Drosophila melanogaster: one gene and its partners. The protein of the gene in region 4 interacts with the protein of the main gene of each other region in a pairwise test. Each region holds a gene or a part of one and is shown on either strand. Other genes may lie near its edges.

What was found.
Region 1: the proteins of RpL40 (region 4) and Smyd5 interact in a two-hybrid assay, tested with the Drosophila melanogaster proteins (one large-scale study listed by BioGRID).
Region 2: the proteins of RpL40 (region 4) and Sap47 interact in a two-hybrid assay, tested with the Drosophila melanogaster proteins (one large-scale study listed by BioGRID).
Region 3: the proteins of RpL40 (region 4) and CG3847 interact in a two-hybrid assay, tested with the Drosophila melanogaster proteins (one large-scale study listed by BioGRID).

What each region holds. Positions count from the first base shown.
Region 1 is NT_033777.3:21,216,720-21,220,762, forward strand, and holds Smyd5 (SET and MYND domain containing, class 5), read right to left. Parts: upstream 2,073-4,043; 5' UTR 1,990-2,072; coding exon 1,954-1,989; intron 1,900-1,953; coding exon 1,285-1,899; intron 1,230-1,284; coding exon 1,052-1,229; intron 993-1,051; coding exon 640-992; 3' UTR 549-639; downstream 1-548. Other genes in the region: Oga (O-GlcNAcase), read left to right, coding at 2,503-2,737, 2,790-3,549, 3,611-3,835, 3,898-4,043.
Region 2 is NT_033777.3:15,933,569-15,938,172, forward strand, and holds the start of Sap47 (Synapse-associated protein 47kD), read left to right. Parts: upstream 1-1,550; 5' UTR 1,551-2,016; exon of another isoform or gene 2,017-2,262; 5' UTR 2,263-2,557; coding exon 2,558-2,772; intron 2,773-4,604. Other genes in the region: CG5478 (uncharacterized protein), read right to left, coding at 1-118; blp (black pearl), read left to right, coding at 584-746, 807-1,069.
Region 3 is NC_004354.4:6,345,301-6,349,763, forward strand, and holds CG3847 (uncharacterized protein), read left to right. Parts: upstream 1-1,802; 5' UTR 1,803-2,204; coding exon 2,205-3,347; 3' UTR 3,348-3,936; downstream 3,937-4,463. Other genes in the region: ND-B16.6 (NADH dehydrogenase (ubiquinone) B16.6 subunit), read right to left, coding at 4,396-4,463.
Region 4 is NT_033779.5:4,225,876-4,229,073, forward strand, and holds RpL40 (ribosomal protein L40), read left to right. Parts: upstream 1-1,823; 5' UTR 1,824-1,932; intron 1,933-2,136; 5' UTR 2,137-2,149; coding exon 2,150-2,536; 3' UTR 2,537-2,686; downstream 2,687-3,198. Other genes in the region: CG3702 (uncharacterized protein), read right to left, coding at 1-892, 972-1,013.

The DNA of each region.
Region 1 (4,043 bases), on a different chromosome or scaffold from region 4:
CCCTGGACAGCCCGCTTCCAGGTGTGAGGAATTTGGTCCAGTGTGTTTTTTGTGTTTAGTTTACTTTGTATATTGCGTCAGAATTCTTTTTGCTTTGTACTATATAAAGTATAGTTTTCTGATTGGTCTGTATTGTTATTTTCGAAATTGACTTTCAAACGGGAAACCAAATAAGTATAGCTTCAGTGAAAATGGTACTTTCTGCAAGAACGATAATAGCGTTTCAGTTCGGCGATATAAAAAAAATGATAATAGTAGGGGAGCCGGGTGAACCTCGCCCCCTTACTATAAACGACATAAAGAACGTGGTTCGCGCCAAATTTGGGATAGTGAACTTCGTTTTGCTTAATAAAGAACTGGATTATGTCATACCGGACGAAGATCTGCTCCAGTACCTTGGCCTGATGACACGTTTCTGCAATTTTGTCATAGAGGTGAGGGAAGTCCCCCTGGATAACGGTGTGCATGAGCTTTTAGCGCCTAATGTACCTTCCCCGGCAGCAACAAATTGAAAAAAGACGGCCACACGTACATTAACAAGCACACTTGTACACTTCTTCAAAATCTTTAACATAAATATATTTTACAATATGTACGTACATAAGAGCTTTTTAATGAAATAAAAAATTAATTCTTAGTTTAGTTCATGTCGTCATCATCGTCGTAGTCGTCCATTTCGTCGTCGTCATCGTCATCTTCGCTGGTCTCGTCGGGATCGGACGCCTGGGCGCGGCACTTGGGGCACTGGCAGATGAACACGTAGTTCTCGCGCAAGACCTTGTGCCTCGAGTGGCGACTACGCTCCAGCATGCATTCGTCCAGGTAGGAGATGCAGATCTCTTCGCCCTGTTGAATGGGAGCCAAGGCCTTGAGCACGACAATGTCGTTGGAATAGGGAAATGTGGAGCAGGCATTCGGCACGCAACTGTGGTTGATTTTGCTCTGCAGCAGGTATAGTCCAGAGCCCTCGTTATTCAAGAATTCGCCAGCAACTGTCGGGGCGATGTTGATATGGATAATTGGCTAACAAGGTGATCTGAGAAATAATTACATTCTCCGACTTTGGCGTACAGTCCGTCGATGACCGTGTCGAGCTGTTCCTTTTCCGAATCCGTTAGTGGTAGATCGGACACCTTGGCAACCCACTGGGAAAGCACGCTTGTTGCAATTCCCTGGCTGTTAGTTCCCAGAATGGCCATCAATGTCTTGAAAGCATCCGGTGTTTTGAACTGGAAAACAAAAGATGTATTCGCGTTTTAACGCACTCTGTAAGGATATGCATACTATGGAGAACTCCTCGCCCGTGAAAGCATTGCAGAACGCAAGATACAACTGCTCCATCTGCTGCTCAAAGTTCTCGCCCAGCATTTTGTGATAGATCTTCTGCTCGCGATTCACAATCAGCGACTGGAAGGACTGCAATTGCTCGAGGAACTCCTCCTTCTTGGTGCTCTGCTGGTAAAGAGCCATCAGGCGGACAATCAGCATTATGCTACCCGTCTCGGGCGGATAGTGCATCTTTTTCCAAGTCTCATTCAGTACATTGATGGGATGTGTGTCGTCGGAGTGGAAGGCGCCCATGCAAGCCACGCGGTGGTAGCGCTTCTGCGCCTCCATTAGGCAGTCCTCGGAGCAGTAGCGCACCTTGCACCGTGGGCACTGGGTGAACTGGGCCACCCACTGGGCGGTGGGATCGTGTTGAAGCAGCGGCACCTCCACTTTGGGATCACTGGCCAGGCGGCGCACATTCTCTAACACCGTCTCCAGTGGCCGCATGCAGTGGTCACACGCCGCATAGCCGTAGGCCACGTTCCACGAGAACTGCCGGGACACGAACGGTTCCTCCTCGAAGATCACCTCGTCCTTCGCGAAATTTTTGGTCGCGATCATCGCACGTCCCTGATGAATTTTTTAATGTATTCAGGGATAGTATGGTGACGGGACTTGACCTACCTTGCCGGGCAACTCCCGAATTTCAAAATTATTCATTGTTTACTCGGCTTTTTGGCTTTGTTTTTGCCAATCCAATTGCACGTGTAGTGCAGTGTGGCCGCACCCTCGAGCACGAATATAAAATACTATGGTATTTAAGCCGTTAAGGTTTCCTATAAAATATTTAAAGTTTAATTTCATAAACTTTTCCTTCCGGGCTAAAATCAAGTAATGGGTCATGAAGATGCAACTTATTCAATTAGTTTCTTCATAGATCTAAAAAAACTATAGTCAGTGCCTGATTAGTTGGGTTGATATTTTTTAGATGCAATTCAAAGATTCGTGTAGCTCAAACAACAGGGTGCACCTTGTGTATTTATAAAACCAATTCTAACCGAAATTGACTGAACATGGTTATTGCGATGTCAGTATATCGATGTCTTGAGCTATCGATAGCACAAGGTGCAATTGTCCGAACCAAACGATATACAAATCCTGAGAAGAGAGGAGAAAAGAAAGACTTATTTGGTCCTCGCAAATTGCCACATCCGATTCCCCGGCCTACTAGAAATGGCAGACGAAGCGGGCAGCCAAGCCGATGGCAAGCGGCAGTTTATCTGCGGCGTGATCGAGGGATTCTACGGCCGGCCGTGGACCACGGAGCAGCGCAAGGACCTGTTCCGCAAGCTGAAATCCATGGGCATGGGGTCCAGTCCTTCGTACATGTACGCACCAAAGGACGACTACAAGCACCGCGCCTACTGGCGAGAGCTATACACCGTTGAGGAGGCGGATCACCTTTCCAGTAAATAACCTTTGAACTCAGCTAGTCCTTTTGTTAAGTGCCTTCCATGCAGGTCTCATTGCAGCGGCCAAGGAGGCGGGCATCACCTTTTACTACGCGTTATCGCCCGGACTGGACATGACCTACAGCAGCCCCAAGGAGATCGCAACGTTGAAGCGCAAGCTGGACCAGGTTGCGCAGTTTGGGTGTGAGGCCTACGCCCTGCTCTTTGACGACATCGAGTCGGAGCTCTCAAAGGCGGACAAGGAGGTCTTTCAGACGTTTGCTAACGCGCACGTGTCGGTGACCAACGAGATATACACGCATCTGGGCAGCCCCAGGTTTCTCTTCTGCCCCACCCAGTACTGTGCCTCGCGAGCGGTGCCAACGGTCCAGGAATCGGAGTACCTCAATACCCTGGGCTCCAAGCTGAACAACGAGATCGATATTTTGTGGACGGGGGATAAGGTTATCTCCAAGAACATATCCCTTGAGTCGATTCAAGAGATTACCGAGGTGCTGCGCCGTCCGCCGTGCATCTGGGACAATCTTCATGCCAACGACTACGACCAGAAGCGAATCTTCATGGGACCGTACAGCGGTCGATCGCCGGAGCTTATTCCCCACCTGCGTGGTGTTATGACCAATCCCAACTGCGAATTCTATGGCAATTTTGTTGCCATCCATTCGCTGGCCTTCTGGTCGCGCTGCAGCCTGGACTCGAAAGTGAACAGCTCGCTAAGTGCAGACATAAAACTGGAGACTGAAAACGATGATGACCTACCGGCGGAGTTTCTCTCTAAGAACGTTTACCACCCACGCTTGGCTCTCAAGTGAGTAAAACTAGGTAAATAACGCAAGAAAAGCTAACGAATCATTTAAATCATCTTTAAGAAACGCTATAACGGAGTGGCTACCGGAGTTCTTCATGAAAAAGGAGGCCTGGGGACCGATCACCAAGCCCCAGCCTCAAGTCCAAATGGTGATGCCCATTATTCCCATCATACCCTCCATAAATACCTGCATGAGTCTCACCACCACCACAACCACATCGACGAGCTCCAGGACGGTTCCACCCACGGTCAACACCACTCAACTTCAAGCTCTGGCTGACGTTTGGTAACAAGAGTTTAATTTTATATATAAACAGCTGTATATCAATATTTATATTTTCATTACAGCGTTGTTACCTCTTCCCTGACTCCTATCTCAAATCCAGTAATGAACTCCCTGGTCTCACCCACAAAAGTGATCACGAACGATGACATCATCAATCCCATTCCGACCACAGCGGCCAGCAACATTGAACTACCCAAGAAAATACCGA
Region 2 (4,604 bases), on a different chromosome or scaffold from region 4:
CGCGCTTTGAGCGAAAATGCCGTATTTGTCGTTGTAGCGACTTCGTCTGATTCTGATCATTCAAATGCTCGCGGACCAGACGGTCGTAGTCCTTTTTCCAGTTCGGTTCCTGAATCATTGGCTTAACTAGGGAATTTCGAATTTTTAAAAACGATAACTGACAAATGCTATCGATGACAAAGTAGTCGTGGTAAAAATATTTAAATAATTGGTTTTAAAAATATTTCGATTCTCGATGATATAGCTATTATATATATCGATAGCTAATTATGAAAGCCGTGTACCATCTCCAATCAGCTGTTTCACCTGCTTTTCGCCGCCTGCTCGTTAGTAAATATCTGGAGTAAAAGCTAAAATTTACCTGGTAGCTCAATACAATTATAAATCACATTCGAAATTAAGTGTTAAAAGTTACGTATGCATTTTTTTAGAAGGACGCCTTTTAAATAGTACAATTGGAACACGGAGGGTCACTACGGTGTTGCGTAATTAAAGCGACACGTTTTCTGAGACCCAAAATTAAGCTGTACACATAGAATGCCGGTGTTTTGACGTACGAATCCAAGGAATACAAGAAACCGTCATGGCCAAGTATATCGCCCAGATCATCGTGTTGGGCGCCCAGGCAGTGGGAAGAGCCTTTACCAAGGCGCTGCGCCAGGAGATCGCCGCATCTCAGGAAGCAGCACGACGGGCGGGTGGTGGCAAGCAGGGCGACAAGAGCGCCGAGTCCAACCTGCGCACAGGTGAGTCTTGGACACAGTCATGCTATCTATTTCACTATTTACACCTACTTATCAATGCAGGCATGACGCTGGAGGAAGCCAAGCAGATCCTGAATATAGATGACCCCAAAAACGTGGACGCTATCACCAAGAACTACGAGCATCTGTTTCAAGTCAACGAACGCTCCAAAGGCGGCTCCTTCTATATCCAGTCAAAGGTTTTCCGGGCGAAAGAGCGGCTGGACCATGAGATTAAGGCCCATGAGCAGCCGAGGTCGTCAAATACGGAAGCAGCGCAAGATACGGCGGAGGAGTCTCAGAGCAGATCGCGGCAGCGACGCTGAGTATCCTTGTTGTCCCAATCGAACTAATTAGCTGATAATTGATTTAAAAACTACGTGTTAAGTACAAAAAATGAAAGTCTGTTGCTGTAAATAGAGATTTACGAACATGAAGACAAGTGTAAACACTTTCTGAGAAGAGCTCGACTTTCCAGGAACACAAATGTAATGGAATTCTTGTAAACTAACACGGATTAGCTCAGGCGGTTAGGTATAAATATTTTACTCTCAGGCCAGGTAACTAGAATCGGATCGATTTTAAGATCACGCTTCTTGGGGTTTGAAAATAAAAATATTTTAAGTATCAACAAAGTTCCATGTCTTGATCTAGCTATAGCTAAAATTATGCTGATGTAAATAAACTAATGCTGCAATGGGCTTCCAAACTTTCGCAATAGGAACTTGGAAATTTTAAAATCAGCTGTTGCAGAAGCCAGAGATGCGCGAACATATCGGTAGAGCTATCGACCGACAGCAGTCAGCTGTTCGATGGGCAGCACTGGCCGAGAACAAACCGAAAATAATCATTACTGGTGCGCAGTTGTTGTTTCCATAGACGTGTCAATTGTTTGTCTAATTGCGCCAGCAGCAGCAAAACGACGCCAAAGCACACATGCGCATTCCAGCGCACAAATATCCCACCCACGAAAATCGCAATACCATCGCCCCAGCAACGCGGAGGAGGGGGTGGACTCCACTTTTCCAGGGAGAAAGCGAACGTACGCATACGAGAATCCGAATCTGAGAATCCCCAATCCCCGAGTCCAAGAGAGCGAAGACGACACTCCAGCTCGGTATTTGAGACATCGACATTCCGCTGCTCCGTCAGTTTTCAGAGGACCTTCGAAGTGGGCAGCCGAAAATCCAAAAGTCTCCTGGCAGCGAACGGAAAACCAAAGAGAAAAAAAATAAGAAAAGCAAAATCCAGTTGGCAGAGAAAAGCTCAAGTGGTAATTGGCTGCGACTCAAATTACTTTAGTTGTGCAAATAGCGAATAGCTATAAACCCAAAAAGAAAAGAAACTCGAGCGTGGCGTGTGTCCATGTGGAAAATCGATCGAATCGCAGAGTATTTATCGTGTAATTGTGCCCAATAGCCACGCAATTCCCAGTCCGTTTTATTGATTTTCCCCACCGCCTCGCCAAGTAGCAATAAAAACCATTCTTTTACCTTCCATCTCGGCCATCTGGACAAAGCAATTGCAGCGTGAAAAATTCAAATTTCAAGTTAAATGCGAGAATTTACATAACGCCGAGCGTTGAAAGTGAAACTTCTGTGGTGCGAACGAAACACTGAAAGAAAGGAAAACCCATTACAGGACATTCTATCTGCCTCTGCCCAGTGTAGTAAAAGTTGGAGAGCCAGGAGCGGGAGAGCAGTGGAAAACCGTGAGAACCGCGAGAACAAGAGAGCCTAGAGAGCGTTGAACGTGCGCACGTCTTCCTGGTCAGGACACACCACCAATCCTTGAGAGAAACAGCAGGAGCCAACATGTTTTCGGGCCTAACAAATCAATTCACCTCGCTGGTGGGCGCCGTTAAAGGAGGCGCTGGCGACGAGGATGTGCCCGCGCCCACAGGAGATGCGCCCGCAGCCGCTCCAGCAGCATCCACATCCGTGGAGGCCACGGCCTCCTCCGCCGTGGACCCGGAGGCAGCTGCCGCAGCCGGTGGCGAAGGACTCGAGGGCGAGGAAGCTGGCAAAAGGTAAGTGTGAATCGAACAATGCGCGCTGGGTAATCCTTCGGCCCATCTTTCTAGTCTTCCGTGACTGTGACTCCGAAATCCAGACTTCAGTCGACCTGACATGGCGTGCCAATGTGACCTTGCTATTTGTACCTTTTAACATTTCGCTCCGTGGAGTTCCTACCCTCCAGCAATCGCTCCTTTACGGTACATTCATCATTGTTTTGACACACTCCGCTTATCCTGCATTTTACGTTGCATTCCGCACGCTCTCACGTGACTGAACATAATTGCTTAAACTGGAATCCAAATGCCCGATAATTTCACTCCCATATATATCCTATATGGCTCCGCTTCCTTGCGAAGCTAGTCGACTGACTTTCCTGAACATTTCTGGCTAGCAATTTCGATTTGAAAATGCCAGGCCAATTTGTGGTTTAAATGGATTTCGTTTGATTATTCTTGAAATGGCAAATCGCATTGTGAAGACTGTATTTCTTTTTAATTGTTGAAATATTTGAATCGTTATAGAATATAGCATAAATCAGTCTTCAAAAGAGTCTCTCAGCTTGGCATATATGTATTACTTAGTATGGTAGACTGTCAGTAGTGTAATTCTCCAAGCGAATTTATTTGCCCTAATTTTGTTGACCAAAGGAAATTCCTTGAACTGTCAGCAAACGGAAAAGAGCAACTCCATGCTTACTAACTTCCGACTGGTTTCTTTTCTTTTACTTCCCTCAAACTGAGTGGATAGGACTGCCCTATTTCTTTTCGACCTCGCCGTATCATTTGACCTCGTCCTTCGCGCTTCTTCTGGGTACTTCATCAATCTCTAGCAGGCATTCCACACCCTAGTTATGTTGAGTTTGCTTTATCCCACAAGAGTGTTACTGCCGTTTCAGCCTTCATTTCCTCGAAATAAATGAAAGTAAATTCCAATTATTCGGCTGATATTTTGGACAAGTTAAGACCGCTGTGATGGCCCGTTAATGCCACAAGTTGCTGGCTAATCCGGAAGATCAGCCAAAGTCAACTAACGTTGTTTTTCACTTAATTCAGCTCATTAATATTTAATTGTGCGAGTGTGCGCTGGATGCCAGGATGTCAATCCGGGGCACGTTTTTCCAACCAGCTGCCAACAGCTGGTGTCGTCGTGGTCGTCGTCGTCGTTGTTGTCTTTGAAACCCAAGTCCGTGATGTGTCACGCCTTTTCAACGGGCCGCCGTTCTCCTTCTGCCCCGCAAGTCCTTTCACTATCAATTGACATTGACGAGTTGGACCACCTTCGTGTTGTTCTTTGTATCTCGTCTTTATTTTACTCTTTTTGTTTTCTGTACGTTCCAATGAAAATAATTTGCACGTGGCTCCTGCATAACCACAAAATGTTGAGTCATTCGAGCTGGCGGCGCCCTCGTCCGCTTTCACCACTCGTACACTCTGGTTTTTTGACCATCTTGCTGTGTGCGAAATACTGTCACCAATGCCGATGGGTAGAGGTGGAGCATTCGGAAGGGGGCTGGCTCGGAGGCAGGATGTGTTCCTTTTGGTGGTTGCTTTCCAGTTTCCAGTTGACTTTTGCTCGTTTTGCGGATCGATACGAGAGAGCCGTGCGAAAGGACGCTCTATGCTTCTCTCTGCGAAATGTGCACATGTGATGAGGCCACAACGAGTAGAAACGACGATGGCGCCCGCTCTAGAGGATTTGCTACTCCACGACCCGACCCGCCCCCTTGTTGTCCTTTTGTCAGCCTATTTAATAATTGTGCATTCAGAAAACGTGTGTGCTGGCTTGTTGCCTGTCTTTACGCCTGTGCCTGTGCCCCTGCCACTGTCCTTTTCATTTCCTCGCT
Region 3 (4,463 bases), on a different chromosome or scaffold from region 4:
GGAAATATTAAAATGGTGTATGGATTATATTCTTTGGATACTTAAAGTAGCCATAACATTGATAAGCCAAACTGAGACCTTCTCAAAAGCACGTTTTCGGATAAAATGGGTATTCAACCCAGTGTTTTCCTTCAGACTTGAAATTCAAATGGATGGGACGATGGAAGATTCGGGAAACTTGTGCTTACGTAAGTATACACTTCGCGTATGTATGTATTGCCATAGCATCTCGATAAGTTTACTGTAGAAATTTGTAGAACTGCAAAGTTTCACTGGAAGTACACGATAAGCCGAAACTATAACCTACCACAATATCCTTATCAGTGAATGCAATACATGTTCCTTTGACAAAAAAAACACGTCATATTTGTACGATTCAAAGGCACCTATTCTTGGTAGTAACTAACTAAAAATCCACCACATTCAACTTGAGATTCCCCATAACTCTTGATGTAAAATAAAAACACAATATGAAGTATAACCTTCTTTTTAAGCCGTAATTTATTCTGATGCAATTGGTGAGTGGCACCCGTTCATCTAAATGAAAACGTGATTGCCACGTTGGGCTCAATCGGTCACATTTTCCCATTTACATACATACATCTATCTACAAATGTACTTTTTACCCACTCCAGAGATCAGAAATTGATGATTGGATGGGCAGCGGAACCCCCATGTAGTAATAAATACAGAACTTTGAAATTTTGTACCCTCCACTGACGCAATTGACTTGGGATACTTTGATTGCAATCTTGGTGCTCAAGTGATGGTGCGTCATTAACCCTTTTCCACTTCATGTTACTATTTTTGTTTACTCAGATACTTTAGAACCTTCAATGCCGGTATCTTTGAACTAAATCTAGATGATTGTTCTATCTGATTTCACAATAATATTAAATATTAAATATTATAATCAGTTTTAGTATACAAATTCGAAAGGTATTCAAAAGTCTTGTATTCTTTTCGAAATAATGCAATGTAGGATAAATACAGTAGTTAGAGGGTTAACGAAGCAAAAACTTTCCATTCATGGGAATTCGTTGAATGATCTTCAATTGGCAATCGGCTAAGTCAGTTACGAGCTTTTCCGACAGCGCCGATCGCTCGTCAATCGGCGATAATTGGTTCAAGGTCGTTTTTGGAGGTGTGGGGGTAGGGGGGCGTAAAGAAGTGACACGTCCGCTAATAGAAATGCCATGAAAAACAAAAGAAACTCTAAGTGCAATTCCACATATAGCAGCACTAATTTTAGATTCGCTGAGGCGCTGGCAAATTTTTTAATGACCATTGAGCAGCCGAAAGCAGAAATTGCTTGGCGACGTGACAAATGCAGTGGCGAAAATAATCTCGCCCATTTCCCTGACATCTTCCTCACGACAGGGCACGTCTTGATGTCTTGAAATCGTTGAAAATACAGTGGGATATGGGGCTAAAGGGGGTTCACCCAGCAGTAGTTTCACTTAGATACATATCACAGGCATTAAATGATCGGTTTGATACACATCCATTATATTTTCTACATACGAATACATCCCAATAAAAATAAAAACGTACTTTGACAAGAAAGTACATCTAGAATTTAATTTTTTTGTATTTTTTTAAATTCAAAAATACGTTGAGATCAGCGTTCAAAATGCGCGCCAAGCGGCCGGCGCTGCCAGCTTGTCGGAAGCTACCGATAACAGCGCCGATTACAGTGCCGATAGGCGGCGGTCATCGGGAAATACCAAATGCGAGAAACGCACTAAAAAATCGCTGACGCGGCGGGCCAGACCGCATGCAGCTCCACTTCCAGTGTCCACCATCTTGGCCGAAGTTGCCACAAAAGTAGAATCGTGACGGACGGCAAATAATTGCAAAACGCATAGTGTTGACTATTGTGGAAAAAACCCAGAGCGAAAGGCCGCCAAAAAGAAGTTGGCAATAAAGCAGGCGGGGATTGAGTACCGAATCCAGCTGGGCCATAAGGTGCTCGAATTTGATTTCAATATTAATTCCAGCCGTGCGAAAGAGACAGCGCGTCAGCCGAGTGCGAGAGGGAGAAGCAAAAGCAAAGGCAAAGGCAGAGGCAAAGCAGGGTTGTCGCCGGGAAAAAATCATATTGTTAAAGTAGGAAAATCAAAGGCTACTGTGAAATCTTCAGATCTTCAGATTTTGCCAAAACAGGTCGTAAGTGATCAAAACTTATTCAAAGCCAACTCGATATGAATGCCAAGCGCGTGAAGTATTCCATGGTGAAGGAGGAGATCGTGCCCGTGCTTATCGAGCAAGATACCGAGGTTGATCCCGAGGAGGAGCCCGAGGAGGATGAGGAGCACGTTCAAGAAGATGACGGCCAGGAGACGCAATATACGTATGCCTATACCACCGGCGACGACGATGACACCGAAACTGCGGTGGTGACCCTCAGCGATCGTGACCACGAGGCGCTGGTCAATGCCGAGGAGGTGATTATCGATGAGAACGGTCACGCGGTGACCCTGCAGGAGCTGGTCGAGAACAGCACCGTCGAGGAGGAGACCATCGAACAGGGCGATGGTACACACACCATCCTTCATATTGTGCCCAATATTCATGGCGAGGAGGTCGAGGAGGATGAAGAGCTCGAGGATGGCGAGGAGGTAGAGCATGACGATGAGTTTGTCACCGTCGACCACGAGGGCGGCGAATTGGAGGTTGAAGATGACGAGGTGGGCTCTATTGTGTTCGAGAGTACCATCGACCATGCCGAACAAGATCCGTATGGTCGCAACAAGACCTTCTACTGTCCCAATTGCGGCAATTGCTACAGCGCCGCCGGCTCCCTGAAGCTTCATATGCGCGCCTGCCTGCGGCAGAGGAACGAGATCTCCACCGATGAACGCAAGTGCAAAGTGTGCAGCAAGGTCTTCAACTCGGTTGCCTACCTCAAGGAGCATATGATGCGGCACACGGGCGAGCAGCCCTTCCGCTGCACCCGCTGCTATCGCAAGTTCGTCGAGGAGAGCAAATTTACCGCCCACATGGAGTCGCACAAGCACCAGGACAAGCTCGAGGCCGAAGCGGTGGCCCTGGCCGCCCAGCACGGCGGCAAGAAGGTGGTCGTCAAGGAGTTCCAGTGCGCCTTCTGCTCGCAGAACTTCACCGTCGTCTTCGATGTTGGCCAGGTGAAGAGACGCTATGCCTGCGACGCCTGCCGCGATAAGTACTCTAATGCGGAGGCACTGCGGCAGCACAAGCAGCAGGTGGAGGAGAAGCGCGAGTTCAGCTGCGTACGTTGCGGCCGCAAGTTCGTTTTCGAGGGCTTCCTACAGCGCCATCTGCCCACCTGCGATGGCAGCATCAAGCGTCGAAGGGACATGAAGTAGAGGCGGCCACAACGTGATGAGCACTGGCGGCGTCGGCAGCAGCTGGAGCCGGAGCGTGATGAGCAGAAATCGCCGCCGCCAGTGCGTTACGTTGTTATCAAGCAGGAGTACGTAGATTAGGAGCAGTAGGATTAGCTGGAGCACGAGCTAGTTTCTAATGATTCGCCCATGCAAAACTCGGACACTAGCCGCCCGGGCCAGGAGAAAGGAGCAGCTGCTGTTTATCTACACGCAAACATAAGTCCACACCCATATTGTATTTTTTGGGAGCCACAACGGGGGCCACTGTCGTCAAGCGATTCCAAAGGAAAGGGTTTATCTTTTACCTAGTTGTACACAAATCCACACACACAGTTGTTTTTTTTTTTATATGATTTCAGGCCAACTCTGCGGTTTACAATTGAAGATAAAAGCATGTCGACGGATGTCGATCATGGCCCATGTATAGATATATATTACTTACTTATAATTACGACTACTTAATGTTAGAGCTCACGATCACCCGCTATTGTGTAATAACCCGAAACTCCAAATACTGACACACAAAACGAGCGTCAAATCGATGTTGAATTCAATAAAAAATAAAAATAAAATAAATCAAGAATGTTTTTCAATGGCTCAAGATTTCTTCATTGCTATTTTAATAATCCCTATTGAATCATAAGCATTTCGTAGTGTTTTATGTTGTGAATTTATTATTTTTACTAAGCAGCAGATTTTCAATTAGATTTTAATTTGGTGACACAGCCAACTGGGATTCCCCGCTGTTGGTGCCACCAAATCCATCTAATTTGGCCATTTTTGAGCACTGCCCGTGGGCTATATTGCAGCTGGACGGCAACGCCCCCGGTTTGGTAAAAATCTCTGGCTACCTCGGGTGGTCCAGCACAGGATTTGGATTAAACACACACAAAGAGAATCGGTATTTCAGCCAATCTGATCTGACATTATAATTGGTCGATACTTTCTTTTTTTGGCGCTTAGGCGGATGATCTACAAACAAAAAGGTGCGTGCTTAGGCATTAACTAATCCATTAACTAGGCCGATTTAGGACCAGAGCTTCAAGTGGGCACGCTTGGCGTACGACTTCCAGTCGGAGTGGGCGTAGAACTCCT
Region 4 (3,198 bases):
ACAGCTGCCACTTGAACATGCCCAGCGGCTGGAAAGTGAGGTGCAGCTCCAGTTCGGGAGTGGTCTCATTAATGGGTTGATACTCCCGCTGAAGATTCCAGTAGTCGTTGACGAACAGGATGGGCAGATAGGTCTTACCGCCGTCTACGAACTTTACGTAGTCATCCAGTGGCGGCGGCACAGATCCCTCGGCCCAGTTAGTTTGGTCCACTACGAGATTGACCGTGAGATTAGGATGCCAGTGAGACACGATGGTATCCTTGAGATTCGCATGCTTGAGCTCGTGCTCCAACTTCTCCTTCTCGCTGGCCAGCAAGTTGTAGTTGCGGTTCACACGCAACTTCTTGAACTTGTTCAGCTGATGTTGCTGGTGGCCCATTTTGGTGGCGTAATTCGGGGCTTTGGGATCGGGACTCATGCCGGTACGCGTGACAAAGGCATGTAGGTACACACTGCCATTGTTCATCAGATGCTGGCTGGTCTTAAGCTTCAAACTGTGCGTGTAAATGCCATCTCCGTTGACGCCCGACGTCCAATCGCCATAGGTGAGGTCCTTCTGTAGCCAGAGGAGATTCGCCTTTTGCTGGAAGTTAACCACATCGGGATTCTCCGACAACCACACGTGCAGGTCAAAGTCCGTGCCGTTCTCGAAGTAATTCCAGGCCGTGATCTTGGGACCCGCATTAGCGACACTTTTGCCTTGACTGGCGGCATCGGGCGCAGGTCGTCGGAAAAAGGAGCTCACAAAGTAGATGATCAGGGCACGCAGGATGAGGGACTTGGTCATCGCAAAGAAGGACTCCATGCGGGTGGGCTGATTCGGCGGGGGTTGTTGTTGCTCATTCTGGCCTTCATTTTGGGCCAGCTCAGCGTTACCATTGCCCGCAATCACCTAGAAAAAACGATGAGAACCAGGTCGCTATTGTCAGGTGATTGGGGTTGAGAAAGGTTTAAGTTTCTCAGATACTTACCGCACCCTCTGCTGCGGGCTGATCTTCGCCTGCTTTCGACATGCTCTGTTCTCAAGGGTTTTCCACGCTTTTCCCTTAGTTTCCCGTTTTCCGCACAACTTGTGCTACTGTCATCGATAGGTAAGTGTTGAGGACCTATCGAGCCATTAGAACTTCGATATCGAAAGGGGTATTTTTCAGAATCTATCGATTTGACGCAGAATGGAAAAGCACGGTGTTCTCACTATAAAGACATACTTTTTTCACTAAGTCAAATACAAATTTATTTATTATATGTGACATATTTAGCAATACACATTTTTAGAATATCGTTGGCTTAAATGTATATCCCTTACTTACTTATACTTACTTACTTACTTATACTTATACAACCTAGTATTCAATTATTGTTCTTAGTAAAATGGACAGCAACTTGAATATTTTTGTATAAATTCAAAAGGTTTAATATCTGAAAAAATATTTCATAAATTCATTAAAAATATAATTTAAATCGATTAGGCGGTTTTTCAATAAAAAAAAATATGCGTAATATGTAATATTTGAACCTTATCTAAAATATAATTCTATATACAAGTTTTGATTTCAATTTATTTGTATACAATGCAAATAGCATTTTCATGCCATAATAATATAATTTTGAATTAGCTTAGCTATCAGTGAGGTAGCGTTGGGCTATAAAAAAACACGAAAAACTATATGTTGATATTGTAAAGTTGGTCTCGGTTCAAATGGTAAAGATATTTTGCATTAATTAATTTGAGTGTCTGAATATTTTTTACAGTTCCATTTAGAATGTTTTGGTATTTAAAAAATAGTATTTTGGTATATTTGCAGTGCTCGGCGGCGGCCACACTCTCTTTTCCCTTTTTCTTTTGAATAGCATTTGGTTGCACGTTTCCTCTGGTGAGTTTCCATTAAATATATTAAAAATAAACGAAAAATCGCAATAACGTGGCAGAATGTAAACATATTGTTGTTTAGTGACGTATTTGTGATATGAAAAAGATGGACACTGGTGCTTGTCGACCGGTGGAGCTGTTTCTGTCGAACGAAACATGCCAGCAAGTCGGACCTAACCTCCAATCTTTGCCCGCTCTTTGGGACGCACAAGTTCGCTAAGAAATCGTACGATTTGGTACTGATTTATGTTTTATATTGCTTTCAGTGACGCCGCCATTATGCAGATCTTCGTGAAAACCCTCACCGGCAAGACCATCACCTTGGAGGTGGAGCCTTCTGACACCATCGAGAATGTCAAGGCTAAGATCCAGGATAAGGAGGGCATTCCCCCAGATCAGCAGCGTCTGATCTTCGCCGGCAAGCAGCTGGAGGATGGCCGCACTCTGTCCGACTACAACATTCAGAAGGAGTCCACCCTGCACTTGGTGCTCCGCCTGCGTGGTGGTATCATTGAGCCCTCGCTCAGGATTCTGGCCCAGAAGTACAACTGCGACAAGATGATCTGCCGCAAGTGCTACGCCCGTCTGCATCCTCGTGCCACCAACTGCCGCAAGAAGAAGTGCGGACACACCAACAACCTGCGCCCCAAGAAGAAGTTGAAGTAGACTATGATCATCCGTCGACGGTCCAGGCTGGTCTTTCTATCGACAAAACCATGGTTAACCATCTAAGTAAATATATGTACATTTTGTGAAACCACATCTAATCGAAATGTATTGCATTTGCTGCCAAGGCACAGCCTATTTACACCGTGTATGTTTCTGTTTTCCTGTCATCTGTTTTCGTTTGTGGTCTCCGAAGAACGAGTTTCTGCGGTTTTAGGAAGCTCTTATACTGCAATTAGTTGGCCTCTCCGAGATCTCAGTTAGTTTTTCTGCTCTGTTTCTGGTTCTGTCTCGCCACCAGGAAGCGGGCGACAGCAGCAGGTAATTGATATTCCATCTGCCAGCGATACCAGACCCTTGCGGTCTACTCTTCTGCCCAAGGGAAACAAGGGGACTGGCTGGCTAGTACGCCGCGGATGGTCGAGCAGACCTACTTGGCCAAGCTAAGCCAAGTCCACTTCGAGTACAGTTAATTGGTTTCATTGACCGCCGACTAAGGCGCGCAACGGCTTCCGTGGCCAACTGGTAAACTGGTTGTTGGCGCTCTAATCCATGCTAGCACTTGGTCGTTGGCCCCGCGGAGGCTCTTATTATGAATATCTTAATAACCCAAGAACTGGCTGGTGACGACCCAAAGGGCCTGCCTGATAGGCAGGACATGA